Rhinolophus ferrumequinum: one gene and its partners. The protein of the gene in region 1 purifies or fractionates together with the protein of each later gene. This does not show direct contact. Links are inferred from orthologs where the notes say so. Each region holds a gene or a part of one and is shown in the gene's direction. Other genes may lie near its edges. The genes, in order: CLUAP1, IFT46, IFT27 and IFT57.

Region 1 (7,988 bases):
AGAATCCCCTGTGGTAGATCCAGGGGCCAGCCTGTGGGTTGTGGGAGGCAGCCCCCAGCCATAAGCCGGCCCAACCAGTGGCTCTCGCACTGGCCAGCGGGCTGAATGTGGCCCGGCAGGTAGAGCGCCAGGCCCCGGAGGTGCCGTAGCCTGAAGTTCTTGGGCTTGCTTTCCTGGGCACTGGGGCACTGCAGCTGCTGGGACCCCAGCCCTCCCTCGTAGATGTTGGGTGGCGTACGGGGGTTACTGGGGGGTCCTCGGGCCCAGCTCACTGCATCTGTGGAGGGCAAAGCAAGACGGTGGTGGCCGATGGGCCACAGCAGCCACGAAGGGAGAATGCAGTCACATGCTCATGTGTTGGGCTCCACTCCTGGCCTGCCAAGCCTCAGCTTACCTGTCTGTCAAATGGGCTAACTCCCCTGCCTCCTGCCTCCCCTTACCTAACATATTACTCCTTCCTCTCCCAGCCAACAGGGAGATCTGAGAAACCCAAGCCTTTCTTTCAGGACTTCAGGCCCTTTCTGCCACCCCTTTTTGCCCCCTACCCTGGAAAACGCATTCTGGTGCTAGTATAGAAATTGAACAGTGTGTCTAGAATCACACAGCCCAAGTCATATGTCCTAGACCAGTGCTGGTCCTCGCTCCCAAGCTTGCATGTCTCTGAGGCCACCCTGGTGGCTTTGGGCCCAGGTGAGGACAGAGGACATTTCTCCTGCTACACTGCCCCACAGCCTAGCACCTTCTCTTATGCGCAGCTCAGAGAACGCACAGACCAAGGCTTCCATGGAGGGCCAGAGTGGTGAGGGAGGAGTGGCCCAGCCTCCTGTGCAGCAGAGCTCTGCTCTCCCCTGCCTACGGGGTGGGTCTGCAGGTCTCCCTTGGCAACAGGCAATGTGATGTCACAGGGAAGACTTCCAGTCTTCCTGGACCCCATGAGTTTGGGGGAGGATGATGCCCCAGGGCAGGGGCAGGGTGGGAGGAGGGCGAGGGAAGGGGGCAGAACTCTAGGGGAGGTGCCTGGTCATTCTGGCTTTGGGACAGGCCACACAAAACAGACTCAGCTCTTGCAGACTGGAGAGTCGCTTCCAGGGATGACCTCTTGGTATCTCAGTTTTCTCATCTGTGGGTGGGAAATGAGGGTTTAGGGGTACAGACTTGGTGAAACCTGGGCCAGTGCTTTGAGCATGCTTATAAGGTGGTTCTGGGTGACTGGGGAAGTCACTTAACTTTTCTGTCCATTTTTCCATAAGTAAATGACAGGGTATTGTGTGACTTGTACCAAGTGTGAGGAAGGATGTGGAGGAACTGGAGCGCTCATGTACTGCTGGTGGGAACGTGAAATGTAAAACGGCGCCACCACTTTGGGAAACAATTTCTTGAAAAGTTAAGCTTCCAATTCTCTATTCACAGATAACATCTTATATAGAGAAAAAATTAATTCACACTCAAAACTGTTTGAGCTAATAAAACAGCTAATAAAGTTCAGCAAAATTGCAGGATATAAGATCAACACAAAAATTAGTTGTATTTTGGCCACTTGGCAGGGGCCACTGAGCACATTGGACTCCAACTGTTTGCGTGCCTCGCTCTGCTTCCTCTGAAACCATGTCTGACAAACTCGATGTGGCTGAGATTGAGAAATTCAACAGTCAAAACTGAAGAAGACGGAAACACAAAAGAAAAACCCACTGCCTTCGAAAGGAAAGGCTGAACAGGAGACACGAGCAGGCGAATGGTAACGGCACGCACCGCCAGTACGCACTGCACATTCCACAAGCATTGCCTTCTGATTTCCCCGCTTTTAGCTGCTTAACTTGTAGGATACAAAGAGGTTAGATCCAGTTTAAATGACTGTGCTGCCCCTTCTCACGTCAGAACTACTGACAATGCAGGCCACACCTGCCCCTCCCATCTGCCTGGCTGGCTGGCAGGGAAGGAAAAGAACCTGCATGTTGGTGAAGGCAGAAGCTGGATGGGCAACAGCGAAATCGAGAGGAAAAACCAAGCTAGTCCAAGGTGTCCTGCAGGCTGTAAAACGCAGTTTCATCAGAGTGTCAATTTTTTATGTTCAAATGATTTTAATTATTGGAATGCACAAATTTTAATATGTGAATAAAACATTTAAAAAAACCCAAAATTGATTGTATTTATATATACTGGCAAAGAACACAAAGAATAATATAGGAATAAATTTTACTAAGGAGGTGCAAAACTACACTGAAAACTGCAAAACATTGCCTAAATAAATAAAGACGTAACTAAATGGAAAAATATTCCTATTTATGGGTTCAAGACTTAATATTGTTAAGGCAACGGTACTCCCTAAAGTGAGCTACAGATACTTTCAAAATCCCAATGGCCTTTTATGCAGAAACGGGAAAGCTGATCATAAAATTCATGTGGATTTACAAAGGGAACCAAAATAACAAAAAACAATCTTAAAGAAAAAAGTTTGAAGATTCACATTTCCTGATTTCCAAACTTTCTACAATGCTACAGTAACCAAAACAGTGTGGGACAGACATAAGGACAGACATCTAAACCAATGGAATAGGAGAGATCAGAAAGAAACCCATATATATCTATGGTCAATTGCTTTTCAATGAGAATGCCAAGATTATTCAATGGGGGAAAGAATTTCTTTAACAAATGGTGCTGGGGCAACTGGAGAGCCACATGAAAAAGAATGAAGTTGGACCTCTACCTCACACACCATATATAAATATGAACTCAAAATGCATCGGAGACCTAAATGTTAGAGCTAAAGCTATAAAACTCTTATGAGAAAACATAGGGGTAAATCTTTGTGACCTTGGATTTGACAATTAGATATGACAACAAAACCACAAGCAACAAAAAAGTAAATTGGACTTCATAAAAATTTCAAACTTTTGTGCCACAAAAGGCACTATCAAGAAGTAAAAGAGCCTACAGAATGGGAGAAAAAATTTGCAAATCATGTATCTGACAAGTGTCATACACAGAATATATAAAGACTTCTTACAACTCAACAACAAAAAGACAACCCAAGTTATAAATGGGCAAAGAAAGCGCAGCCGGATGGCTCAGTTGGTTAGAGTGCAAGCTCTGAACAACAGGGTTGCCGGTTCGATTCCCAAATGGGCCAGTGAGCTGCGCCCTCCACAGCTAGATTGAAGACAACAAGCTGCCACTGAGCTGCCGAAGGGGCGGCCAGATGGGTCAGTTGGTTAGAGCGCGAGCTCTGAACAAGGCTGCCGGTTCAATTCCTGCATGGGATGGTGGGCTGCGCCCCCTGCAACTAAAGATTGAAAACGGCAACTGGACTTGGAGCTGAGCTGCGCCCTCCACAACTAGATTGAAGGGCAATGACTTGGGGCTGACGGGCCCTGGAGAAATACACTGTTCCCCAATATTCCCCAATAAAACAAAACAAAACAAAAAAAAATTGGGCAAAGAACTTGAATAGACATTTCTCCAGAGAAGATACGCAAACTGTCAGCAAGCACAGGAAAAGATGCGCCACATCATCAGTCATTAGGGAAATGCAAATGTAAACCACAGTGTGATACTACTTCACACCCATGAGGATGGAGAATATATAAATGAGAATGTAGAGAAACTAGAACCCTCCTTCACTACTGGGGGAATGTAAAATGGTGCAGCCAGTAATGTATGAAAGTTCAAGTTGGTACACATTCTTTCAGGCTCTTGGCATTGTGAGGGTTTTTGTTTTGTTGTTTTAGCCATTCTAATAACTGCCTAGTGATAGGTAATTGTGACTTAATATCCATTTCCCTAATGACTAATAATTTTGGTCTTTTCCTTTGCTTATTATTGGCCATGTATCGTCTTTTGTAAAGTATTAGTTTAAATTTTTTGTCTTTCCATCAATTGGATTGTTTTATTGAATTTTGAGAGTTCTTATGTATTCTGGATACCTTTTTATCAGCTGTGTTTTGTGACTATTCTAGATTGGATTATCTTTAAACGTTCTTAAAAATATCTTGATTAGCAGTTTTAAATTTTGATGAAGTCCTATTTGCCCAAAAAAAATCTTTTGATGTATCTAAGAGATCTTGCTTAACTCAATCACAAAACTTTCCTCTAAGTTTTCTGCTAGAAAAGTTAGTTTCAGGTTTTATATTTAGGTAAGGGTGGAGATTCATTTACTTGAATAAGGATTTCCAATTTTTTCAAACCATTTATTGAAAGACTGTTCTTTCTCCACTGAAGTGCTCTGTCACGTTTGTCGTACTATGTGGATCTATTTGGGGACTGCCTTTAAGGTCCGTGCATTTACGAGTATGTTTGTTAACTTCGCCAACACCAATACAGGAGTAGAGTACAGCTCTCCGCTTCGTCCATCTTTCCGAGCTCAAATCACTTCACCTTTCCAGACCTTCTGCGTCGCCTGTTCTCCACCGTGGCAACCCCACGGAGGGCTCCCAGGTGAGCCCCTAGCTGACCGGGCAACATATTGGGCACCTTCTTCACTCCGGAGCCTTGTTTCCTCAATTACGTAGACAGTCCAACGCGCGCCCGCCGGAAGAGACCACGGTTGCCAGGACAACCGCCGGCGCGCAAGGATCCGGGCTGACTTCCGGCTCGTCGTGAAGCTTGAGCCGCAGGCGCGTACGCAGGTCCGAACCAGTCAGCTTCACTGCCCCGGGGACAGGCGGGTGTCCTGCTGTTTTACCCCGCGGTCGCTTCTCAGGGGCTGCGGACGCGGTCAGCCAGTTTGCAAAGAGAAGCGTGCTGGGCACAGGACCCTGGTGGGCGATCCGACTTCGTGACGTCGTACATTCTTTCTAGAAGAGTTGAGGAAATGGGAAGTATTATGTAGAGCACATAGTAGGTGCTCAGAACGTGTCAGCCAGTAGTCTGTCTGCAACGTGTGTGGAGGGGACCGGGACGCCCCTCGGTCGGAAGCCCCCCCCAGGGGCATAATCCCACACCCGCCTCCCCCCGAGCCCGGGACTTCCCCTGCTGCCCGCCCCTTCTCCTGCGCGTGCGCGCGCTGCGCAGCCCATTTACCTCGCGCCTTGTTTGGCCTCTGCTGCGCGCTGTCGATGGCGCAGTGCGTTGCCATAGAGACCCGTGAGCACCGAGGGCCGAGCGGCGGAGGTTCCGGGCGAGCGGCGGGGATTCCGTGCTGGTGGGGACCAGAGCGTCATGTCTTTCCGTGACCTCCGCAGTAAGGCAGCCCTGCCCCCTATGACCTGCGGCCCTCCCGAGACTCGGGGCTTCGGCCTGCGGGTCGCGTCTGAGCCCCGTCGAGGCTTGCGCCGCCCGAGCACCTTCCCGGGCCTCTGTGCCTAGGGCGTCCCTGGCCCTCTGCCGCCCCCCAGGCGGAGCGCCTCGGCCCTAACTTACCGCACTTTCCTGCGATGATGGGAAGTTCTCTGTCTGCCATTCGCTGTGGCCAGTGCGGCTGAGGACCCGAAGTTTTAATTTGATCTAATTTTAATTGATTTGTATAGTCACACAGGCTCTTCACTATAATATTTGAAAACGCAGAGACCGTTTTGAATTGGGTTCACTTGGAGCTCAGAGAAACGAACAACAAAAGGGAGGGGGCTAGTGAATAACAATTGCGGATAACATTTTATGAGTGTTTACGGATCTGCCAGGTGGTAACTGTTCTGTGTATGCGCATCATTTTATTTACTTCTCTGAACAACTACGGTTCTGTGTTTAGAGATGAGGAAACGGGCACAGAGAGGTCAGGTAATTCAGTCAAGGGTCACAAGTGGTTAGAACTGGCGCAGGAGTTTTAGATTTCAGGTTGTCTAACCTTCAAAGCCTCTGACCTTTCTAAAGGAGCTAACGAGGAGAAGGGAACCCTTTGCTAGAAGGTTGGAAAACGGGGAGAATGTGGATAAGAGAATTGGTTGCTACTACTTGGGGGGACGCCTGTTACACACCAGGCATTTTACATTCACTGTTTTTTTAGTCCTCCCTTTAACGCTGAGGTAGGTGACTCCTCGATGAAATACTTTGAGGCACAGAGAGGTCAAGTAGACTTTAGGTCACACAACCAGAATTGGGTGGAACCAACGATCGAGACATAATACTGTGTGAATCAAAATCTCTTGCCTTTTGTACGCTATCATTTTCTGATTCAGAAGCAGGTCAGCAAAGTGGCTCCACGGGCATAGATGTAGCAGGTGATTGCCAGTTTGCTGTGATCTGAGGGGCCTCCTTAAGACCAATTTTCTAATTGAATTGCTGGTGCCTGAAATTTCACCATTAAAAATTATGTTTTCAGTTATGAATTGCTCTTTATCTACAATGTAAGTATACAGAATTAGGCAGGCATCACCTTATTAATGCATCTACTAGCACCGTAGCTATGAATTATGCCTGTTGGGATTTGAAGGTTCTTGGTGATTATCTTGTAGAGACAAGTTTCTCCTCCCTTGTTTAGAGAGAGCCCTCTGCTAAGGAACGTTGAATGGAGTTGTATTGGGAAAAGTGTACAAGAAGCGGATTTATGAACATTTTTACCTTAAATGAATGCTGTACAGTTGTGCAATTTATGTTAAGAACCTTGCTTAAAATGTCTCCATTTTGACAATAATACTGCAGAACTAACAGAACTTGACTACTACTGTTTGGTGGGAAGTATCTCGGCAGTGCCTGACGGTGGTGGGAAGGCTACTGCTTTATTTTCCATCACTCTATTCAAATTTCCCCAAAAGTAATTACACGTCCTCTGTGTAGTTGCTCTTTTTTCTGCTCATACCTTCTTTTCTATTGTCTGGTGAAATCCAACCTAACCTTATTTGTGAATGTCCTTGGGACATTTTGAACGTCCACCTTCAAGAAGAGTGAGGACAGGTATTACATAGCTGGAAGCACACTGAATATAGATCTCGGCCCATTGTGGTAATTCAAAAAGTGTTTGTTGTATTCATTTCCAAGTCCTGCTTAAAGCTTTGTGACTGCAACCTCTGGCACCTACAAGTGTTAGTATTACTGTTTCTTAATCTGTTTTACAATAAATATAAATAGTGCTCTAGTGTTAACCATTCTCTTTAACATTTCTCTAAATACAATGCAACTAATCTGTAAAATTTGTGTTATTGAGGTCCTACGAGCTCACGAAAAATAAAATGCAAATAATTCAAAAATAACTCAGGAACATGGACTTCACTCTACCACCATCACCCCAAAAATAAACACTGTTAACATTTAAAAGTATTTTTTTCTTTATGATGTTTCATAAAGCCAGGTATTTCTCATTTTGAGTGGTAAAAAGATATCCAAGAGAGAAATGAGATATCAAATAGAAGTTAAATTAATAGCCAATAGAATCTAAAAAAAAAAAACACAAAACAACAGAAACAAACTCATACAGAGAACATTTTTTTTAATTAATTAATTTTTTTAATTGGGGGAGGGCTTTATTGAGGAACAGTGTGTACTTCCAGGACTTTTTTTTTTCTTCCCCATGTCAACTTGTTGTCCTTTCAGTCTTAGTTGTGGAGGGTGTTATTCAGCTTCAAGTTGTTGTCCTTTCAGTCTTAGTTGTGGGGGGTGTTATTCAGCTTCAAGTTGTTGTCCTTTCAGTCTTAGTTGTGGAGGGCGCAGCTAAGCTCCAGGTCCAGTTGCCGTTGCTAGTTGCAGGGGGCGCAGCCCACCATCCCTTGCGGGAGTTGAACCGGCAACCTTGTGATTGAGAGGATGGGCTCCAACTAACTGAACTGTCCAGGAGCTCAGTGGCAGCTCAGCTCAAGGTGCCGTGTTCAATCTTAGTTGCAGGGGGCGCTCCCCACCATCCCTTGCGGGAGTGGAGGAATTGAACTGGCAACCTTGTGGTTGAGAGCCCACTTACTGGCCCATGTGGGAACCGAACCGGCAGCCTTCGGAGTTAGGAGCATGGAGCTCTAACCAACCGCCTGAGCCACCGGGCCAGCCCCCAGAGAACATTTTGATGGTTGCCAGATGGGAGCGGGTTTGGGGGGATGGGTGAAAAGGAGGAAGGGATTAAGATGTACAAATTG
Region 2 (7,227 bases), on another chromosome or scaffold:
GCTGGACTTTTGCGCGGAGGATCGCAGAGTGGGGTCCAAGCGCTATCACTACGAGCTTCTAGTAGAGCAAAAACCCCAGCCCATTCCAGGGCCCGGATCTCAGCACAGAAGGTGCCCAGTTGGGGGTGGGGAAGGAAAGGGTGTGGGCGCTACGACAGAGGATACAGGAGTCAGGTCCCCCGATCTCCCGAGAGGTCGGGCACAAGACAGCTCCCCGAGCCCCGAGGGTAGCGCCGGGCGGAAGCGCCGTGCTCCAGGTGCTCCAGGCCCTCAAGCAGGGACTCCTCTGGCCATAACACCAAGACGACCCGCAGAGAGCGCGGACACGCGAGGCCAGATCCGGGAATGCGGCCCGGCTCGGATCTTACCATGGTGAGGGCGGTGGTGGGGCGCACCCGCGCTCTGGCTCCACTGGGGCTAGGGCTGAGGTCAGGGAAAGGAAAGCACCGGCGGCTCTGGACCTGCTGCCCCCCTGACAGGAGCCGCAGCCGCTTTGCCTCTCGCCAAGATGGCGGCCCTGAGCCACGTCTCAACCGGAAACTGCGCAGGTCAAAGGGCGGAGGGCGGGGCGCCATGGGGTGGGGAAATTGTGCGTGCAAAGCTAGAACGCGACTTGGCCAAGAAGGGATCGGGCTCACCCAAGCGATAGAACCTCGTATTTTTGTCCCTTCACTTATTGTCAGCGCCCTTGTTTAATTTTTGACACCTCTCGTAGTTTATAAAACTCTCACAGCCACTACATCACTTAACATACGAAATAACCGGGTGTGCATAAGGACCTAATATCCAGAATAAAGAACTCTTACAACTTAATAATAAAGACAAATAATCCAATTTTAAAATGGGTGAAACAGACATTTCTCCAGAGGATATACAAATGGCCAATAAGCACATAAAAGATGTTCAAACATCCTTAGTCCTTAGGGAAATGCAAATCAAAACCACAATGAGATACCACTTCACCTGCACTAGGATGCCTGTAATAATAATGTTGGTATAATAAGAATGTGGAGAAATTAGAACCCTCATACACTGCTAGTGGGAATGTAAAATAGTGCAGCTACTTGGGAAATAGTTTGGTAGTTCCTCAAAAATTTAAACCTAGTTACCATATGATGCAATTCCACTCCTTGGTATATACCCAAGAAAATCGAAAGCATGTCCCCACAAAAAAGTGTACACTAATATTCATAGATGCATTATTCATAAGAGCCAATAAGCAGAAACAACTGAAATGTCCATAATAAATGAATGGATAACAGAATGTGGTGTATCTACACAACGGAATATTACTCAGTTGAAAAAAGGAATAAAGTACTGATACATTATACAACAAGTATGAACCTTGGAAATATGTTAAGTGACAGAAGCCAGTCACAAAAGATCATATCTTATATGATTCAAGTTATATGAAATGTCCAGAATAGGCAAATCCATAGAGATAGAATGTAGGGCTATAAGGAGGTGGGAGAGGGGAAGAATGGGGAGTGAGACTTTTGGAGTGATGAAAATATTCTGGGATTATACAGAGGTGGTGGTCACACAACTTTGTGAATATACTAAAAACCACTGAATTGTACACTTTAAAAGGGTTAATTTATATGACTTGTAAATTATACCTTTTTTTAAAAAGTGTGTGGGAATCAGGGCAGTTACTGCGTTCATGTTCATTTTGTAGGTGAAGAAAATTGATGTCAAGTTTAAGAAATTTACCCAGAGTTCTAGGCCAGTATATAATGGAAGCAAGAGTCAAATCTAGCCTTCTGATTCTGTTGATAGTTCTCCCATGTCAAGTGTCGGACTTAGGGCATATGTGATTCAGCAGTTCTCCCCTATATCATTTCGTCCTGTATCACTGGCTCAACTCTACAACACTCAAACACTGCTGCAATAATGGATAAACAGCAAATTTTTATTGAGTGCTTATTTTGTGTCAAGTACTTTACACATGTTAGCTGTAATCCTTTACAACAATCCAGATAAGGACACTGAGGACCAAAGAAGTCAAGCACTTGCCCAGACTCACAGTCTGTAAGGGATAGAGCCAGGATTCAAACCCATTTTTTTCTCATTATGACACACCTGCCTCTCTCTATATATGCCATGTTCCGGTATAAGACCAGGTCTTATACCGTATTTCCCCAAAAATAAGACCGGACTTACATTAACTTTTGCTCCAAAAGATGCATTAGGGCATATTTTCAGGAGATGTCTTATTTTTTTCATGTACAACAATCTACATTTATTCAAATACAGTCATGTCATCTTTTGGAACATCGTCAAAATGTACTAAATGCGTCCATCTGGCTGACGATCTTAACTGGGGCTTATTTTCGGAATAGGTCTTATTTTTCAGAAAACATGGTACATCTTCGGTATGTTCCTTAATGTTTATTGAGCACTTACAATGTACAGTGTATTTAGGAATACTGTGTATTCCTAAACTCTTCACACAGATTATCTGATTTAATCCTCACAAAAATTCTCTGACATAGGAACCATTAATATCTTTATTTTACAGGGAAACCAAAGTACAAAGAGGAAAACTATTCTACCACACCTCTCACGGCTAGAAAGTAGTAACTCTAGGATTGGAACAAAAGCTGCTCAACTTTAGAATCTATACTCTTAAGCACTGCACTATAGAATTCCCACTCATTTCAATTCTATCTCCAGTGGCTTTCTAGTAGAATCATTACAAACCCCCCATATTTTAGAACTTGCATGTCTGGGAGGATCTATGTCAAACTGTACTGTTTATTTTTATTATAAAAAGGACATGCAGTTTTAAAAAGATGAACAAATTCTTAATTTAAAAAAAGTAAAAATCATGTCTGGAATTATTGCTTTATTGTGGCAGCTTCCAGGGGCATTCAGTGTGGAACAACCAAAGCTCACAAAGACCAACTGATGCTGATTCTTTAGAAATACGACAGTTGAATTAAACTGCATAAGAAGAGTACCCCAGCAAGCATGCTTTGTGAGGAGTGCCTTAAAGGCAGAAAGTCATAATGGTTAAAAGCAGAGCCTTGGGAATTAGACTGACCTGTGTTTGACTCCCATTGTCGGCACTTACTACCGTAGCTGAGTGACTCTAGGCAAGTTGCTTTAATTCTCCAAAACCTCAATTACCTAATCTGTAAATTGACAGTAACATCTATCTCATAAGGTTGTGAAGTTAGGTAATATATTAATAAGTAAGATTATATAATCTAAGTGGTCCTACATAGTAAATGCTCAACAATACATATCCATTATTATTAGCAATAACAGATGACAAAAAATTTTAAAAAATGTTTTGCAGTTCCATTCTTTTTAGATAAATTTTTATTGGGGAACAGTGTGTTTCTCCAGGGCCCATCAGCTCCAAGTCGTTGTCCTTCAATCTAGTTGAGGAGGGCGCAGCTCACTGGCCCATGTGGGAATTGAACTGGCAACCGTGTGGTTCAAAGCTTGTACTCTAACCAACTGAGCCATGCGGCCACCCTGCAGTTGCATTTTTAACCAGAAGAGTCTCAGAAGAGGTGTTTCTCATTTTCTTTTTAAAAGCCACTTTACTGCTTTCCTCTGGCTGGTTTTCAGGGTCAAATTTCCAATATTATTCTCTTTGTTTCTCTCTTTGTTACTCCCCAAATTAACTATGTCTGTAGTTTGAAATATTTGTTCCTTACATCTTTGTTCACTCATTCATCCACCCAATGAGCATTTTAAAAACACCTAATTTATGCAATGCACTGACACTATGAAGATCTTAAAAATTAGTTAGACACAGACGCTGCCCTAAAGAAGCTCAGTCTTCTTTAGCAAATAAAAATACAGACACCAGGATAAATTGTAATCTCAGATAAATAACGAATAATTTGTTAGTATAAGAAATGTCCTATGCAATGGGACACCGTAAAGAGGAAGGACTATAATGTAATACAAATGCTAAAAAGGACGTACAAAGTGTTGTTGGACTATTCCTTAGAGATTTTGTCTAAATTCTGATTAGACTGATAGAGGAGGAATTGCATGACCAATGGTAATTGTCTTACGGGGTAAAATGCACATGATTATTTCCAGATTGAAGGGTTAACTTTATAAACCCAAATTCATCAGCCAGCTTTGCCACCCGTGGCCGCTGGATGCCGCCACAGACGCCTTTACTGAAACCATAGACAAACAGGCGACCTGATCGCCCAGAGAGGCTCCTCCAACCCCCACCCCGGAGACGCTCTTGATCCTCCTTGGAGCCTTCCCTCACAGGGACTGAAGGCGCGAGTGGAGAAAGTCTCACGAGAGTGAAAGCAAGTCTCGCGATTTTTAAAATTTGTTTGTTTATTTATTTTTACCTAGCGCCTGACAACTGGACGGTTGCTCCAGGTAGAATCCCTAGAGTGGCTTGGCCTGACATTGGAGTGAGACCTCAGCCCCAGGCTGGGGTTCTTTCAATTTAGAGGAGACGGATTCAGATGGGCTACAGGTAATTGGTACTCACCCTCTCCGGAAGAGAACTCCTTTTCTCCCTCCCAAGAGGAATTTAAGCGGACTCCCATTCTCTCCTTCCAATCCCCCAATCTCTTCTCATCTCCATGACAACTGTTCCTTCTCCCCTTCGTTCACGTCTCCACCAACCACCCTGCTTTTCTCTTACTCCCCAAGAACTTAAGGGGGACCCGACCTGCAAGTTGGGTGGGGGGTGGAGATGGGGGTGATGTTTTCGGGATTATTGGATGGGACTGAGAGGCTGGAGTTGACCCTCTGTTCCGGTAAACGAGGTAACCCCAGAGACAGAACTCATTCTAGAGCCTCTACAGCCTCCCCTGAGAAACAGCGACAGCCTTGGGAAAACCGAAGGAACCTAAGTCGCTATCTATAAACGAATACTGTTTAGCCCGTGTGCCTGTGTGTGCCTAACAGCTTTGGGGAGCTGGTGTAGAAGTTGGCTGTTGTTTCCCTCCATGATTCTCTGGTTCCTCAGCTAGCTTGTCAGCAGTTCCTAAATATGGATTGCAGCAGGATGATCTCACTGCTTGATCTTGGGCCAAGAAGCCTTAAGGAAAGTTTGAATGGGGGTGAAGTTTTCATGTGAAACTAATGTCTTGGGTGAGGAACAGGATGAATGCTGGTTTGGAATCGCACCTCTCCGCATAGTGTTTAATGTCTGGTGATATGAGCCTATGTAATCGTGTCTCCTTTTGCTTAGACCAAGATTGTTGAAAACCAGACATATGATGAGCGTCTAGAGATTAACGACTCTGAAGAGGTTGCAAGTGTTTATACTCCAACCCCAAGACACAGAGGTAAGAGAGGAATGAAGAGGAAAGCAGAAAAAATGGTTCTCAGAACAAAGGGCAGGATGGATTCATGATTGTCTCCAAGAAGTTTCTATTTTGTCATAGCAAATGTTGGCTTTCAGAGTGAAGTTACTTCACTTGCTATTGTTTCTGTTTCCTAACTAGTTAAGGGGGATGAAAACACAGCCTCCCAGATTCTGGGATATTCTTCCAACCTGATCAGTGTTTCCTAATACCATTTACTTTATGATACTGTTCTGCTCACAATCTGACAGGGGTTCATGTTTTGTTTTGTTTTGTTTTTAACTTATCAAAACTGTTTTGCTCCACTTTGAAAATGCTTCAGTAACCTTTCTTTAATCTGCAATCCCAATAAAAATCTCAGTGGAATAATTGAAGAGGATTTGACACCATCATTTATTTAACAAACATTTTTCTTAATGTATATTGTGTGTCAGCCTTATGCTTGTCACTAGGTGTACAGTATTAAAAGAGATGTTGATTCTGCCATCTGATGCTTGTAATCATTGGAGACAGGTGACAAATGAATAGATAAAATTACGAGATGTGATCAAACAATATGGTGAATGTTTAAATTTAAAAAATTGTATTACAGTAAAAGACACATTATCATTAATCCCCCTTAAAATACTCCCCCTTGCTTTGAACACACTTATCCCATCATTCTTGCCACTTTCTGAAGCAGTTCTGGAAGTCCTCTTTCGTGAGTGTCTTTAGTTGTACTGTCATCGTGGCTGCCTCTATGTCCTGAATCATTTTGACTGTGGGGAAGAATCAGAAGTTGCACCGTGCCAGATCCAGTGAATAAGGTGGATGAGGACACACCGTAATGTTTTTATTTGACAGAAATTGCCATGTACCAGAAGCGATGTGTGACACAGCGCATTATCATGATGGAGGATGATTTATGGCACACTTTAAAACACACCTTCTCAGGGCGGACGGGTGGCTCAGTTGGTTAGAGCGCGAGCCTCTGGGCAACAGGGCTCCCAGTTCGATTCCCACATGGGCCAGCGAGCTGCGCCCTCCGCAACTAGAATGAAGTCAACGGGATGCCGCTGAGCTCCCGCTGAGCTCCCAGGTGGCCCGATGGTTCAGGTGGTTGGAGCACAGGCTGTCAACCACAAGGTTGCTGGTTCGACTGCTGCAAGGGATGGTGGGCTGCACCCCCTGTAACTAAGATTGATCACAGCACCTTGAGCTGAGTTCCCAGATGGCTCAGTTGGGTGGAGTACGTCCTCTCAACCACAAGGTTGACGGTTCAACTCCCACTAGGGATGGTGGGCTGTGCCCCCTGCAACTAACAACGGCGACTGGACCTGGAGCTGAGCTGTGCTCTCCACAACTAAGATTGAAAGGACAACAACTTGACTTGGATGGAGCTGATGAGTCCTGGGAAAAACACACTACTGTTCCCCAATAAAAAGTCCTGGAAATACACACTGTTCCCCAATAAAGTACTGTTCCCCTTCCCCAATTAAAAAAACCCCCACAAAAAAACCTCTCACCTATAGCTCACACCCTACTGAGTGCACCGAACAAGTTGAAACTTGTCACACACTGTTAGTAAGTCACACACCACTTCCTGTATTGAAGATCCCTGGCTTTCTGTTGGATGGCACTCGGCAGCAGCATTCACCGTATTTTTTTATCACAACAGAAGGGCTCCATGTCACACATAGCTTCTGGTATGGCAATTTCTGTCAAATAAAAACATTATGGTGTGTCCTTATCCACTGGATCTGGCACCGTGCGACTTCTGGCTCTTCCCCAAAGTCAAAATGACCATGAAAGGTAAATGTTTTGAATCGATTCAGGACATCAAGGCAGCCACAACAGCGCAACTGTCAGGATATATATGTATGTGTGTATATATATACACACACACACACATACACATATGTATATACATATATGTGTATATATG
Region 3 (7,217 bases), on another chromosome or scaffold:
GGATGACGGAACAGTCCCTGAGAACAACTTAGCAGCAGCTGCCGCTCTGCTTTCTTCCCACTGAAAGCCCTCACTTCGTAATTAGCCCAAACAGCCCAGTCCCCGGCTTTGGGGAGCAGCTGTTAACTCCTCCTCCTCCATGGAGCCTGCAGGTCTGGAGGTTGTATGGGTCTAGAGCTGGCTGTGCAACGGGGGGGGCGGGGGGGAGGCCAGGTGGAGACCCCAGACATCAGGTTGCCGCGATCTGATTAGCCATGGCACCCCTTCCAGCAATAAGCCCGTTACCTACACAAGAATCCGTGCTTGCTGAACGAATGAATGGACAGAAGGGAAAATTCTACAAGATTCATTCATTCATTCAAAAATATTTACTGAGTGTCTTGCCATGCTGGGCATTGTCTTAGATGCTGGGAGGACAAAAGAGACCAAATCTCATGACACTCACCTTCTAAGGGAGGAAGACAGAATACTATACAAATAAATACAGAATATGATATCTGTATATCACATAGTAGTGAGTGCTATGAAGAAAGAAAAGTAAGACAAGGAGATTGAGACTGACAGATTGGGGGTGATTCTTTAAATTTGAACAAAAATCAGAAGGTCATGAGGGCAAGTATCATGCAGCCATGTTAAGAACAGTAAGTGCAAAGGCCCTGAGGTAGAAAGGATCTTGAGGAGATTGAGAAACACTAAAACGGCCAGAGAACAGGGATAAAGGTGGGACCTAGCATGACCTAAGGGCAGTAGTTCTCAAACATGAGCCTGCATCAGAATTGCTAGAAAGGTTTATGAAAACACAGAGAGTGGGCCCTCCCCCCAATGTTCAGTTGTTTGGTGGGGAAGGGCCTAGGGACGTGTATTTCTAACAAGTCACTGATGCCATTGGTCCAGGGACCACTGCTAGGGTATTTAGTCTTCATACAACAAGGAAAGGTCCTGCTCAATGTTCACCAGTCATAGGTCGCCACTGCTGACTGTCTCCCCACTGGAAACCAGCGCCTATGATGGCTCTGCCCATGGTGCTCAACAAAACAGTTGTTGAATGAATTCCTCAAAGAAGTTTCCCCGCCAGGCCTTGCTTCACTCTTTTGTCGTTTTGCTGTCTACGTGGCTCTAAGCAGGCGCGTGGGTCAGACCTACCTCTTACCAATCTCCCACTGAACACCTGAGCAAAGAGTGTCACCTGCTGTCTCCAAATGCTTGATGCACGGCCACCACTGGTGGAACACCTCTACACGTGCGATTCCATCTACTCAGGAGGTCCTTTCCTCTGTGTCCATCTCGTAAATTCCTACCCATTCTTCAGGGCTCTCCTTCCAGAAGAGCCTTCCCAATGCCCCTCCACCTATCCAGGGCTAGAAGGGCTCCTTGGAGTCCTGTATCCACTCATGCCGCAAGGATTCGTTCATATGTTTGTCTTCCCTTCTTGAATTGAGGTCACAGATAGGCAGCCCTCGGGGTGAACCAGTCCACAGAGATGTTCTACTGTGGCTACAGTGTTTTCAATTTAAGTTCATTGCCAAAATTTGAGTCAAGGGATTTCACACAAAAGTCTAGATTTTGGGCTCTTCTAGAAAAGTCAGGGCTGGCATTCTTACATGGCCAGGATCTGCTAGAGTTGCTTGGGACTTGTCACCTTCGCTCTGGTGGCCCCAGCACAGTGCCTCGTCCAAGGCAGGCACTCAAGAAAGCTTATTAATGAAACCAGAAAGGTGACTTCAGGTAATGGAAAAAAACACCGGTCCCAAGAACAGGTGACCTGAGGCTGGTTTTGGTTCTAGCTGACTTGTTGCCTGACCTTGGGCTCTCTCTGGACCTCAGTTTCCTCGCCTGTTACATTGAGATAATGAGAGTTTGCACTTCCCAGGGTCACTGCATCCAACAACAGAGAGGATGTGAAGTGCTTAGCACGTGCCTGGCATATAATGTTCAATCAGCATGCGATATTACTGCAAGGAACTCAATCAATATTTACTCTCGAGGAGGGGAGGAAGTGAGGAGTTAGAGGCAGCAGAGGTCCCTTTCGGGGCCAGCGGGGTGATAGACTATTTGTGTTCAATCCTCAGTTCTGCCATTCACTAGCTATGTGACCTTGGGCATTTGACTTAACCTCCTTTGGGCCTTGGTATCCCTATCTATCAAATGGGAATAATACAAGCCTCATGTGGGGCTATTGTGAATATCAAATATGAGTATTAATTAATCCTTGAAAGCACTTAGAACGAGGCCAGCATTCCACATACGTTCAACACACGCCAACTCTCAGAGAGGGGTTAGATTAGAATCTTTCAAGGCCCCTCCTGGCTCTAAAACTCTCGGACCACCTTAAACCTGTGACTGTGTCATGCGGCTGTCCTTTAGTCACCAAGAACGTACAGAAGGCCCTTGGGATGAGGGGAGCAGAATTCAGTATAAAGGGATTACCACCTCTCTAGAAAGATCCAGAATGCTGACCACAGGCACACTGAGTAGCAGCAACAATAGGGAGAGTGGATGTGGTGCAGAGGAGTGCAGCCCCGTGTGGGAGGTGCCATTACGCCCTCGCAGGAGGAAATGAGGCTTCAGAGGCTGCCCCCAGATCTATATCAGTGCCTCAGCCCCATGGAGCTGCCTCGAAAGGTTGACTCACTCGAGGGGTCCTTTAGGGGATGACGGGCGTCACAGTGAACAGGACAGCCTGGAGGGGGAGGCAGAAAGACCAGGCAGCGGCGTTCTGACTCACCCAGGCCTGGGGTCTCTGAGACAGACACGCATGAGGTCTCCAAAGAAGCAAAGTAGGGAAGGGGGATGAAGGAGAGACAGGTCGTAACCAGAATACCAGGAATGATTCTCAAGAAGACAAAATTCCAGGCAACTTGGATTGTTTTACTCTGGATTCAGAACTGAAACTTTCACAGTCATTTGTCAAGGGTGTGTGTGTTCGTTCCCCTGCACAAGGCTAGTAGCTACACTGAGACAGAGAGCAGCTGAGACAGCAGAACGTTCCAGGTAACCGAAAGGCACGTGATGGTAAATCCTGAATGCAGTATCTTTGCTGAGGGGCTTCTCGTCCCTTTCAGCATCAGCCAAGGGTTGGCGGGGTTGGGGGAGTGAGGGGTGGGAGGTGGAGGGATGGGGGTGAGGCAGGGGTGAGAACAGGGGTGCATCTGACCAACCTATGACGGTGATGATAGACCAAATCTGTCCTGATGAATTTCTTCTCCTTCATCCATGCAGCTGTTGAGTGTTGAGTACCTACTACGTCCCAGGCGCTTACATACTTTCTCATTTAAACCTCAGGACAACCCCATGAAGGGGGTTCCACTGGCCCATCTTTAAAGCTGAGTCAAGAGGCGCAGGGGTGAGATGTCTTGCCCGGGTCAGGAAGATGGCAGGGATTTGTCTGGTTTGCTGACCGCAGAGCAAGAGGGGGCCCTCTTTGTGTGGCCTCAACATTCTGGATTCTCGCTTTCATTCAATATGTGATATACATACGCTCTCCATTTTACAGGAGAGGAAATGGGCTCAGAGGAAAGGATGACTTCAACTGCCTGGGTCCAATCGGCTCACTCGCCTCCAAGTTCACTTGTTCTCCCTTTGTTGACAGACATCCCTTTAAACGCTTTAAAATTTTAGATTTTAAAGCGCGTAATATCTTCGGTCTTTTAAAATGAGATTTGCCTGCGGAATGCGGGGCAACGGCTGAATTTTTTGATGCACCTCACGGCCGCACTCCCCGGAACCTGGGAATTGGGGAAGCATCAAGAACCTCCACCACCTCAAACCCGTCCTAAACTCCGCTTCGTCCACTGCGGCCTCATCTACTGCGCAGGCGCCACTCCAGTCTCCCGCGCTCCCGACCCGCCCCCTCGCGGACGAACTCACCTCCAGGAGGGCAGGGGACACGCATTCCTCCCACAGATGGTCCAAGCCAGCTTCTGGCCAATCAGAAAGCTTCTTTTAGCACCGCTTCTGGCTAAAAGATGTTGGAGCTTCTTTTCCTAGAACTTTCCGGCAGTGCGGGGTAGAGGGGTGTGGGGAGGGGGGGAGGAGTGGAAATGATTGATGTCTCCTACAACCATTAGCCAAGGGGGATGAGTTTGAAAAGCAAATAACACTACGAATTGTCTTGCAAGGAAAGCCTGTGAGCTCCGCCCCCTCCTCCCACTGGTCTCGGAGAGCCTTCAGGGTGGGAACTTTTGGTGGCAGCCAATCGAAGGTCAGCGAGGACGGAGGAGGCGGGGCAGGCGGTTGTTTGGCCAGAGGGTCAGACGCGGTGCTAGGGGCCCCGGGGTTGTAGGGTCACTCTTCCGGATCCCCACAGGCAGGGGCTGGGCCGAGGGAGTGGGCCGCGAACGGGTGCTGCGTCGCCTCGCTGGCCCTTTCCAGGCTGCCTTCTGAGGCCTTGAGCCAGACCCCATCTGGCGCTCCCCTGCGCCTCCGCCGCATCCCTCGCGCCGGATAGCCGCCCCCTGTCTAGCCCAGAGGGTCCAGGCCCCATCTGTCCCTGCTCCCACCGCGGCCACGGGCACCTTGAGCGTCATCCTCCCCACTTCCCTTCCCAAGCAGCCCCACCAACGCCTCTAGCCGCCGCTCTTCCCGTCTGGTCCGTGGAAGTGGCTGGTTACTATGGTGAAGCTGGCAGCCAAATGCATCCTGGCAGGTGAGTGTGAAATTTACAGTCTCCAGAGTCCAGAGACCTCATAAGTTACCAAGAGCTTTTGTTCACGTAAATTGTCTACCCTCTTTCCCTTTCTCTCTTCCAAAGGCGAGTTAATGCAATTACTAACAGTAAATTCCATTAGTTGTGGAAGAAGTATCTTCCAGGCTACACTGGTAGCTCCAGCTGATTTCTCCCGCCCCCTGTCAGACTGTAAGACCATCTTCACCTTTCTGAGCTGTACTCAGGAGGTACAGACTCTTTAAAAACCAGGCTAACCACACCCTGAGTGCTTCAACCAAACCATGTGCTGTACCCCAAAATTAGGCACCCGTGGCTTTGCTAGTCTTATGGGATTTTTTCCCTGACCCTGCCCCTCTGATGACAGGGACAGACAATAATGTAAAATTGACCAGAGTTTGCAAAAAAGGTGCAAGTGTATTGCCTTTAAAACCCAAAGTTACTGCGCTTCCCTACGCTCAGGAGGACAGAAATATCGAATCCCCCAAAGGCAGGAATCTTTGTTTTGTTGACTGATGGATCCCAAGCACCCGGAACAATATCTGGAACCTACTAAGTCCTCAATAAATATTTGTAGAGTGAATGAATATGTGGCATTCACATGTGTGGTGCTCTTTGTATCAGTCTGCACATTTAGAAAAACATTTGCCTGGATTGTAGACCTGGAACCACAGAACACATGTGTACTGAGTCCTTCCTGCATGCCAGGCACATGTATTTCATTTCATCCTCTCCCGGTGGTAGGTGAGCACACCGGTAGGTGCTGTATTGTTCCCGTTTCAGCTGGGGCACTGAGAAGTGAAGTCTCGCCCAAGGTCACGCCCTAGTGAAGGAAGGTCATAGGCAGGATTTCAACCCCTGGATCTGCCCAATTCCAAAACTCTTAACCTGTGTTACTCTTGGAACCTGTGACCTTTCCGGGGTTCCTTGACCAGCTCAGGAAAGAAGCAGTGAGAAATTATTAAGAGGGTAAAGAGATTCTGACTGAAAGAGATGATACTTTTAATGACTTTTCTAATTTGGAAATAAAAGGGTCACACAGAAAGATGACTGACAACAGTAACTCAAATCAGACTGGAGCAAAAGAAGTTAAGGGGTCTCTAGTTCCCAGAACGCCGGAGGAGGCCGTATTGTGTAACAAAAAGAATTCTGGCTGTTCCTCTCATTGGCTGTGTCATCTTGGACAAAGCACATCTCTGAGCCTCAATTTCTTCATACATAAGTTGGGATTGTTTTTGTTTTCTGAAGTTAGATACATTTTTTAATGCGTTTCTCCCTCCAACTCTACTTTCTCTTATTTCTTTTGTAATTCAGCTTCTATCATGGAGCTAAGTGTGCTGAGTACCCTCCATGTACTGGCACTGTGGCAGACCCTCACCACAGGTCATCGCACTGAATCCACACAATAACTCTGTGGGGTCAGTATTATTGTCATCATCATTCACAGCTGGAGCAACTGAGCCCAGAGAGGTTAAGACACTTGCCTTGGGTCACACAGCTGGATGTGGCCGAGCTGGGATCTAGACCCAGGTGATCTGATTTCCAGTGCTTTGTTCTTAGCCCCAAACTAAACTGTCCTCGAGCCTCGATTCTAGACTCTTTGCCCTTCTTTACACCCATTCCCTCAGGTACTGTTTCACCTGATTTCAGCCACTGCCTGAGTTAGTGATTCCTGAACTCCAACCTAGCTCTCCATCTGCAGCCTCAAGACTATTTCCTCTTGGAAGTTTCCAGGGACTAGAAGACAGTGAATCAGCCCCACCAGCACCACGCACCCAATTCTTGTTCTCCACACCACCCAACTTCACACACCTGCTCTGGTTTTATTTGTCCTTTCCCCTCACAGGTCTGCTGTTTAAATTGAGTTAATCTGCCCTTTTTCTCTCACGTACCTAGTCATTGAAGGACCCAATATTCAATTCAAGTGCTTATTCATTCGACAGATATTTATGGAGCACCTACTATGTGCGAGTCACCATGCATGGTGCGGTGCGAATGCAAGCATGAATCAGGCCAGCACCTGGACTCAAGGAAGCGCTGAGATGTGCATAGTAACTTACAATGCAGCAAACATGAATCGAATGCCCTTTGTGTGCCAGATACCAGAGAAATACCTGCTGATTGTTTTGGCTCAGATCAGGAAAGAAAACAACACTTGACGTTTATCTATATTTTATTTACTTAAAAAATCACTTAACTATTACTTAATATACATGAGACACTGTACATATTAACTCTTTAAATCCTCATAACAATTCTATGAGATAGGTGCTGTTATCCCCATTTTGCAGATGGGACAACTGAGGCCCAGAGAGATTACTGACCCAAGGTTACACAGCGCATAAGTGATGGAGCTGGAATCTATGCCCTACGTCCTATGATTTACTGCCTCTCGATGTCAGTGGGGATGATAGAGCCTCACCAGAAGGTTGCTCTGACATCAGGTCTCAATGAAATGGCACTGACCCACATGACCACACAAGTAAAAACAAAGGAGGGAGAGATGACCTTCGGAGGCTGTGCAGGAAGGACGCTATTTGAGCTTGGCCTGGCA
Region 4 (7,524 bases), on another chromosome or scaffold:
CATTAGCAGGACAAAGAGGCAACCAACTGAATGGGAGAAGACATTTGCAAACAATACCTCTAATTAAGGGCTGATATCCAAAATATATAAAGAACTATTCAATAAATGCTGTTTAAGCTATGGGTTATCCACATGAAAACCAAATCACATCTCTGAATTTCAGTAGATAAATTTCAGATGTATTGACAGAAATGTGAAATACTTGGAAGGAAACAAATAGAGTATCTTGAACCTCAATGTAGAGAAGGGTTTCTTGAAGGAAATACAGAACAAACTTTAAAGAAAAGAGAAACTCATCAAAATTAAGAATTTAGATACAAAAGAGGATTCTAGAAACAATGAAGAAAGATATTTGTGACCCATATAATGTCAATGGATTAGTCTCCAGGATACATAAAGGTAATAGGTCATTGCAAGACCTCTGTGCCATGGTGGAGAGTTTTAGATGTGTTCTTGTAGGTGAAAGTTTCTTGGCTTTAGTACTATTGACATTTTTGGTGGGATAATTTTTTGTTGTTAGGGGCTGTTCTGTGTATTATAGGATGTTTAACAGCATCCCTGGCCTCTACCCACTAGACACCAGTAGCACCCATTCATAGTTGTAACAAACAAAAAGTTCTCCAGACATTGCCAACTGGACCATCTGCATTACTTCAGAACATATCTCACATAAAGAAACTCAAAGTGTTGCACTTTAATGTTAAATATTGCAGCAAAAGCTGCCAGTGCCTACCCAGGTTGATGCACCCATTCCCAAGTTGCTACCCGTGTTTCCCCGAAAATAAGACTTAGCCAGACAATCAACTCTAATGCATCTTTTGGAGCAAAAATTAATATAAGACCTGGTATTATATTATATTATATAATTATTATATAGACCCAGTCTTATATTAAAATAACTGGGTCTTTTATTAATATAGACTGGGGTCTTATATTAATTTTTGCTCCAAAAGACGCATTAGAGCTGATTGTCCATCTAGGTCTTATTTTCGGGTAAACAGTAGGAGTACTGGCCGCTCAGTGTTCACAGCTGCATTCATCTCCAGAAAACTACCCTTGGCTAACAGAAGCCACCTCACTCAGAGATGCCTGAGCTAATCACCAGCCAGTGACCCAGTGAGACAGGGGATAAAGGCCAGCTTTCTCACCCCAACGTGGAACATCTTTGTGGTGCCATCAGTGCCCCAGAGAACATTTCATGGTGCCCATTACTAAGTTCTGTTGAGTCTCTTTCCTAATATCTATCACTTTTTTTTTCTTTAGGATTGCTTCGGCTATTGGGAGTCTTTTTGTGATTCCATACAAATCTGATGATTTTTGTTCTATTTCTTGAAAAAAAATGCCATTGGGATTTAGAAGGGGATTGCATTAAATCTGTGTATTGCTTTGGGTGATATGGCCATTTTAACTATTCTTCCAACCAGTAAGTAACTTTTCTTTAGTTTGGATCTCTTATATGACAATTACTGAGCTGCCTTAAGAGCTTGTCTATAGATTCTCTTGAATTTTTTTACTTAATCTTATCACCTGCAACAGTTTTTTTCTTCTGCAAAACTTACTCCTAATTTTTTTGTCTCAGTATACTGGCTCTGATCTCTAGTATAGTTTTGCAGATTGGATGTCTTCACCTTGCTCATGGCTTTAAAAGGCATTGCTTCTAATGCTTCACATTTAAATATGATTTTTTTTTCTTTCAAGATTTTGGGCAGATACTTTCTATTAGGTTAAGGAAGTTCTATTCAATTAATGGTTTTCTAAGTTTTTAACATATCTCATGGGTGATACCAAGCCATTTATAACAAAAAGCAGTTTTGTTTTTTAAGCCTGTCCAGTCTTCTTGGAGGACTTTTTTATTTGGAGATGCAGCTGGAAAGACAGCCTCCATCTTTGAACCTGTCTTCTTTTCACCCCCAGCCTTGCTCAACATCTTTCAACGAAATCCATTTAGTTTAAATCACCTTTGATTGGTATGCCGTTCAGTTTTCAGAGATTAGCCCAGTCACAGAAAGATCTTAAGGGCCTTAAAAAGCACTTCCAATTATTTCACAGATAGTTTGAGAGAGATAAAAGTCAAAGTCAGAAGCCCAACTATAATTGTGGTCAACACATAAAGCCAGGGATAAATCTCTCTTAAGATTCTTGAAAGGAAGTATGAACAAGCCTCAACATCCCATTCTCTTCAAGCTCTCGTCTAACTCTTTAGTCAATGAATGAGCTAGTCCTGCAAAAATACTAACACAATGTACTCCAAAGCTTCCAAGTGGCTGAGACAGCTCAAAGAGGATTTGAGTGTGCATTCTCACACGTGAAGAAACTACTTCCATTAAGGAAAAGACCCCTTGAAGCGTTGTCAACTATTGTGGGTAAACAAAGGTTCAGCAAAAATAATCCCTGGGGTCTTATAACAATGAAATGACATTTCAGTGTTATTTACCATCTTTTTTCTGTGGGGGAAACAATGTTGAATAGTTGGCTTTTCCTTTGTTTCTTTCATTCTTTCTGTGCCATAGTTACAGGGGGATACTTTATATTTTAGTGTTTTTTCTTTCTCACAACACTTAAGAGAGAAGATAATTCTTCATACTGCCTCAAGACAGACTGCACCACTATTGCGCCTGGGAAGAAAATGGCTAGGTTCTGGGAGAAGAGTTTTTCTCCCCACAAAGTGCATGTGTTGTTGGAGGATTTCTCATCAGCCAAAAAACAATGTTTGACTATTTCATCCTGAGTGCTATATATACTTTCTGAAAATGTCAGAACGTCTTATGTCAGCAGCACGCCTCTAGTGAATGTCTATCTCCTTGGGTGTGATCAATTTACCTGAAAGTCTGAAACCTTTTTGAAAACCGTGTAAAAAGCCACAGGTTGCTTGTTGTTTAAGCACCCCAAAGCATGTATCTGAGCTTTAATATTTTTCAATCCTAAAAAGCTACTCATTTATCTTGTACTCTGCAAGTTATACAAGCATACCACAATATCCCTCATCCATACATGTGGTGGTTAGGGTGGGGATGTATGGGGAAGAAACACTGTTCCAAGGAGGCAAAGAAAAAGACTCATTTGGCTGTGGGGTAGAGCCATACCTGATTTTCCCACTCACCTTTATTAAAAGCAGCTGGTTAAATGACTATAGTAGGCAGACAATGTTATTTACTTAAAAAGCAATTCTCAGTGGCCTTCCCCTTTGGATTGTTTTCTACATACCGTAAATCAGTTATTTGATGTATTTACTTTTTTGGTAAACACAAAGGTATTTGCCTGATTTTTCACTTTGATACCTTTCTGAGTATCAGAAAGTTTAGACTGATATTAAAATGAAAACTGCTCTTCTGCCCATTTTTCTAACAAAAACAAAAAGTTATTACAGATAAACTTCACACTTTGGTTATGTCAAAAAATGTGACTTCTCTATTCTCTAGTAGCAGATATAAGAGATCAGAGATCCCTCAAAAAACACAGTATAAACACAAATACATGTTCAACCTCTTGCCACAAGTTTTCTTCTCCCAGGAAACCTCCACGCACCTACCACTTACCTCATTTTTTAAATAGCTGTTAGGAAAGCTTCTTGACACACAAGACTTCTTTGAGAACGGTAAGGCTTTGGTCAGTTATGCCCCCTTTTCTTGCTTTTCCTTTAATAGCTGCAGAGTACAATGCAGTAGTAATACTGTCTTTAACCACACTTAGAGCTATAGCACAGGAAAATAAATTCCTTTCAAGATTATTTCCTTTATTTTATTGATTTTAACAAGGAACCCCAACACTGTATACTGCATGTAATGGGCTTGAAACAGATTAGGAGAAGGATGTGAGTTTAGAATGCTTGTTTCCGAGGTAAAACAAATCCTTCCCACTGCCTCCTTTTTGCTCATCCTCTGCCATTCTTTTTCCCCACTCCCTCCCAAGCAACAACCCCTTTCCTAGCGCTGATAGCAGGGAATGATACTGACAGTCTTATAACATAGTGTTAGATCACACACAGCATTCACTAATGAGAGAAAGACTAACTTTAAGGGGGGGGGGGAAGGAAAGAAACTTCCCTTTGGGAGGTTGCTGAGGTAAAAGGAAACCTCAGAATATCGACTACCTTTACAACTGTGAAAACTTTCAATTGTGAGAAGAAGAAAAAAATCAGGGGGCTAGTATAGCCTTCAATACTGCTCGTCTTCCTTTTTCTTTAATCTTTTAAACTGCTAGCAGCTCATTCGGATGCCCGCTCAGCTGCCCTTGGTAACCACCAGGTCCAACGCACCTCTAGCAAGCCAAGGGCCAGCTGGAAAGCGCAGCAAAAACACCCACGGCCCTGCCTCCGCCTTTAAACTGCAGCGGTAGGAGGCGTGGCCGGACGTGGGGCCCTGGGAGCCACGCCCCCCCACGAGGGCGTGGCTACCTCCCCGCCACTGTCTTCCAAGAGGCAGGGGAAGGGGCAGACCCTACATGACGTAGCCCAGAAAGCTTGCTTTGGTTGGAGGGAATTTAGAAGAGCTCAGGGAAGGAGGAGGAGTCTAGTTTCCCTGGTGACGGTCTGCCTGTCGGTCGCCTGGTAACGGGTCGCGGCGGTCCTGGCTGCAACTGCGCAGGCCGCTGAGATCCGTGGGCCGGAGCCCACGCTGGGCTCTTTCTGTTTGTTTTGCGATGGCGGCCGCTGCGGCAGTGGTCACGCCGTCGGGTTTGGAGGATGGGGCGTCCCGGTCCCGCGGCGAAGGGGCGGGGGAGGTGGTCGTGGAGCGGGGGCCCGGCGCGGCCTACCACATGTTCGTGGTGATGGAGGACCTGGTGGAGAAGCTGAAGCTACTCCGCTATGAGGAGGACCTCCTCCGGAAGAACAACCTGAAGCCCCCGTCCAGGTGGGTGCCGTGGTCCCCGCGCATGGGTGCCTGCTGGGCCCTGGGAAGAGGCCTTCCTCCGGCCTTCTGGGGAACGCCCAGCGCGGGTTAGCCAGCACTTGTCTTCACCGCCTTGTCTGGAAAGGGTACTTCATCCAAACTTGGCAACGGAGGGCCGTGGAGCTCACGGAGTTTATATTTGGTATTTTAGTAAAGAGGAAAGTTTTGGAACGACAGAAAGGACTGGAAGACAGCTTGCCTAGTCTTTAAAGCACACACCTCCACAAATCACAAACTGTTTTTTCTGAGTATAAAAGTAATAAAAGTTCCTCTTGCAGGGAACTCAGAAAAACACAAGAAAATGTGTAGAAAAATACTAAAATCACCCATAATCTCATCTCCAAAGACAAATGCCATGATCATTTTAGATCTCTCTAGTTTTTGTTTTCCTTTGCAAGAACCTGTCCCTACAGGTGGTAACCATGGATACCTAGGACCTTGCTTAGCACTTTTTATGCAGTTGGCAAACTTGTTGACTAATTGCTATGGTTTAAAGAAGTGGAAAAGTGGAAAAGACAAATGAAATGACAACTGTAGGAGCCGTCTCTTTCTCATCGAGCCTAAAGTTCTGCCCCTCTGTTGGGGAAAAGTTCATCATATCCGGAAGCCCAGGTCATTAGTTGCTGAGGATAATGGACAGCTAGCACTTTCTCTTCCAATCAATGTAGCTTAGCACGGAGAGGTAAATAAGTTTTATAGTTTTTCCTTTACATTAATACATACTTAGATTTGTTTATTACTTTAGATTATGAATCTTTATTTCTTTCTCTGAATGGCTCAAATAATAGCTAGGCTCAAATAATTTCTCTTGACAGTTTTGATCTCATTCCCTGCTCTCTTCCAGTTACTTGAGTTATAAGATATGTAAGCTTAATCCAAGATGGAAATTGTAGGCTTGGGAGTTATTACTTAAATTAACTGATCAGAATAATATAAACAAGCAGTATTTTCTGTTAATAAAAGTGAATTTTTCCCAAATATATTTTTCAAACTAAAAGAAAATGGCCCTAAGTTTCTATTGATATAACCTCTGTACTATTTCCTCCGGAGTTCAGCAGGATACTTTGAATAATGAATTTGTGTGGAGGTATCTTAATTTAATGGTTCATAAAGTGTGGTCATCAGGCCCGCAGCACGAGCATCACCTCGGAACTTATTTGAAATGCTCACAGGCCCTGTCCCAGGTCTACTGTGTCGGGAATTCTAGCGGTGGGGCTTAGAAATCTGTTTTAACAAGTCTTCCAGGTGATTCTGATGCATGCTCAAGTTTGAGAGTCATTTTCCTAAGTCTACAGAATGTGTCAGTATCCATTCCTCTATCTTGGATTTATCAGCCAACAAGAAAAAAATGAGTTGTTACCAGCAGGTGCTTCGAAAGGGTTGTAAACCTACCTGTAAGGACTTCATGGCCTTGTTTTCTTTCCAGCTTTCTGTTATGTTCTAGGACACTTACATTGATCCTGCAGGAAAGAAATTGGGAAACATGAGTTCACTGCTGATTCTTATGGAAAATACCTATAATAGCTATAAATACAATTATGAACATAATAGCTACATGTAAAAAGCAAACTAAGATCTTTAGTCAAACTGACTTGAATGCTGTGGCTAGCAAATTTTATTCCTAACATATTTAAGTATATATCATATTGATCCTCATAGGACTATTTGTAGTAGGCTAGGGATTTTACAACAGTCAACAAATGTTTGTTAGACTGGGGATGTGATACTCAGTGGTTCTTAATCCTGGCTACACCTTAGAACCATCTAGGAAGCTTTTAAAACATACCTGTACTGGGACTTCACTCTCAGAAGTTCTGATTTAATTCATGAGGGAAGAACTGTTCGGTCCAGTTGCAGTGGTTTGACGAGCTCCTCAGTTGATTCAAATATGCAGCCAAGATGAGAACAACTGTTAACTGATACAACAGTAAGTAAAGATACCAGTGATGTAAAAAATGTAGAAATGCATAATGAATAATCATTAAGGTCTTTTTTTTAAACTCTAAGATTTTCTTGATTCCAAATTACATTTTCAGGAAGTACTCTCATATTATTCCTGATACACAAATTATTTTGGCAAAAGTTCTATGTGCTCAGTTTTTTAACATGCCCTGCATTTTTGGGGTGTAAGGTCTTTGATCTAATATTTTTTATGCAGTAGTTATTGTCCTAGTCCTGTTGATTAAAAACGTTAGTGGGAGTGCTGTGGATTATTAGAAATTTCAAAGAATGAGTTATCAATGTCTTTTGATTTTAAAGCCATTTGAAAAAAAAATTGGGGCAATTTTGGACTTAGCTCCTTTAATTACTATAGACTTCTCAATATTTCCACCCTCCCCTCTTGTTTTGAAACAGACACTATTTTGCACTGCCTACCAACCCTGGTGAACAGTTCTACATGTTTTGCACTCTTGCTGCTTGGTTGATTAGCAAAGCAGGACGCCCCTTTGAGCAGCCTCAGGAATATGATGACCCTAATGCAACAATATCTAATATATTATCTGAGCTTCGATCATTTGTAAGTGTAAACAACTCTCTACTTTCTGCATATTCTCAAGTTATGAATTTTAATATTGTTAATTCGACAACATGAATGCTAGCCTTTTAGATAAATTCTCTGTGAATAACTATATCT

The links.
Region 2: the proteins of CLUAP1 (region 1) and IFT46 purify together in Homo sapiens (affinity purification with mass spectrometry; 3 studies listed by BioGRID and IntAct, with this or other methods). This does not show direct contact. The link is inferred for Rhinolophus ferrumequinum from reciprocal best matches to the Homo sapiens genes CLUAP1 and IFT46.
Region 3: the proteins of CLUAP1 (region 1) and IFT27 purify together in Homo sapiens (affinity purification with mass spectrometry; 3 studies listed by BioGRID and IntAct, with this or other methods). This does not show direct contact. The link is inferred for Rhinolophus ferrumequinum from reciprocal best matches to the Homo sapiens genes CLUAP1 and IFT27.
Region 4: the proteins of CLUAP1 (region 1) and IFT57 purify together in Homo sapiens (affinity purification with mass spectrometry; 4 studies listed by BioGRID and IntAct, counting the BioPlex papers as one, with this or other methods). This does not show direct contact. The link is inferred for Rhinolophus ferrumequinum from reciprocal best matches to the Homo sapiens genes CLUAP1 and IFT57.

What each region holds. Positions count from the first base shown.
Region 1 is NW_022680357.1:4,893,702-4,901,689, forward strand, and holds the start of CLUAP1 (clusterin-associated protein 1), read left to right. Parts: upstream 1-4,984; 5' UTR 4,985-5,154; coding exon 5,155-5,176; intron 5,177-7,988. Other genes in the region: C15H16orf90 (uncharacterized protein C16orf90 homolog), read right to left, coding at 1-277, 740-785. UniProt on the Homo sapiens protein: Required for cilia biogenesis. Appears to function within the multiple intraflagellar transport complex B (IFT-B). Key regulator of hedgehog signaling.
Region 2 is NC_046294.1:87,904,180-87,911,406, reverse strand, and holds the start of IFT46 (intraflagellar transport protein 46 homolog), read left to right. Parts: upstream 1-4,216; 5' UTR 4,217-4,465; intron 4,466-5,188; 5' UTR 5,189-5,285; intron 5,286-7,227. Other genes in the region: ARCN1 (coatomer subunit delta), read right to left, coding at 369-371. UniProt on the Homo sapiens protein: Forms part of a complex involved in intraflagellar transport (IFT), the bi-directional movement of particles required for the assembly, maintenance and functioning of primary cilia. May play a role in chondrocyte maturation and skeletogenesis.
Region 3 is NC_046293.1:9,967,502-9,974,718, forward strand, and holds the start of IFT27 (intraflagellar transport protein 27 homolog), read left to right. Parts: upstream 1-4,202; 5' UTR 4,203-4,611; coding exon 4,612-4,645; intron 4,646-7,217. UniProt on the Homo sapiens protein: Small GTPase-like component of the intraflagellar transport (IFT) complex B that promotes the exit of the BBSome complex from cilia via its interaction with ARL6. Not involved in entry of the BBSome complex into cilium. Prevents aggregation of GTP-free ARL6.
Region 4 is NC_046285.1:35,882,795-35,890,318, reverse strand, and holds the start of IFT57 (intraflagellar transport protein 57 homolog), read left to right. Parts: upstream 1-4,520; 5' UTR 4,521-4,638; coding exon 4,639-4,850; intron 4,851-7,244; coding exon 7,245-7,407; intron 7,408-7,524. UniProt on the Homo sapiens protein: Required for the formation of cilia. Plays an indirect role in sonic hedgehog signaling, cilia being required for all activity of the hedgehog pathway.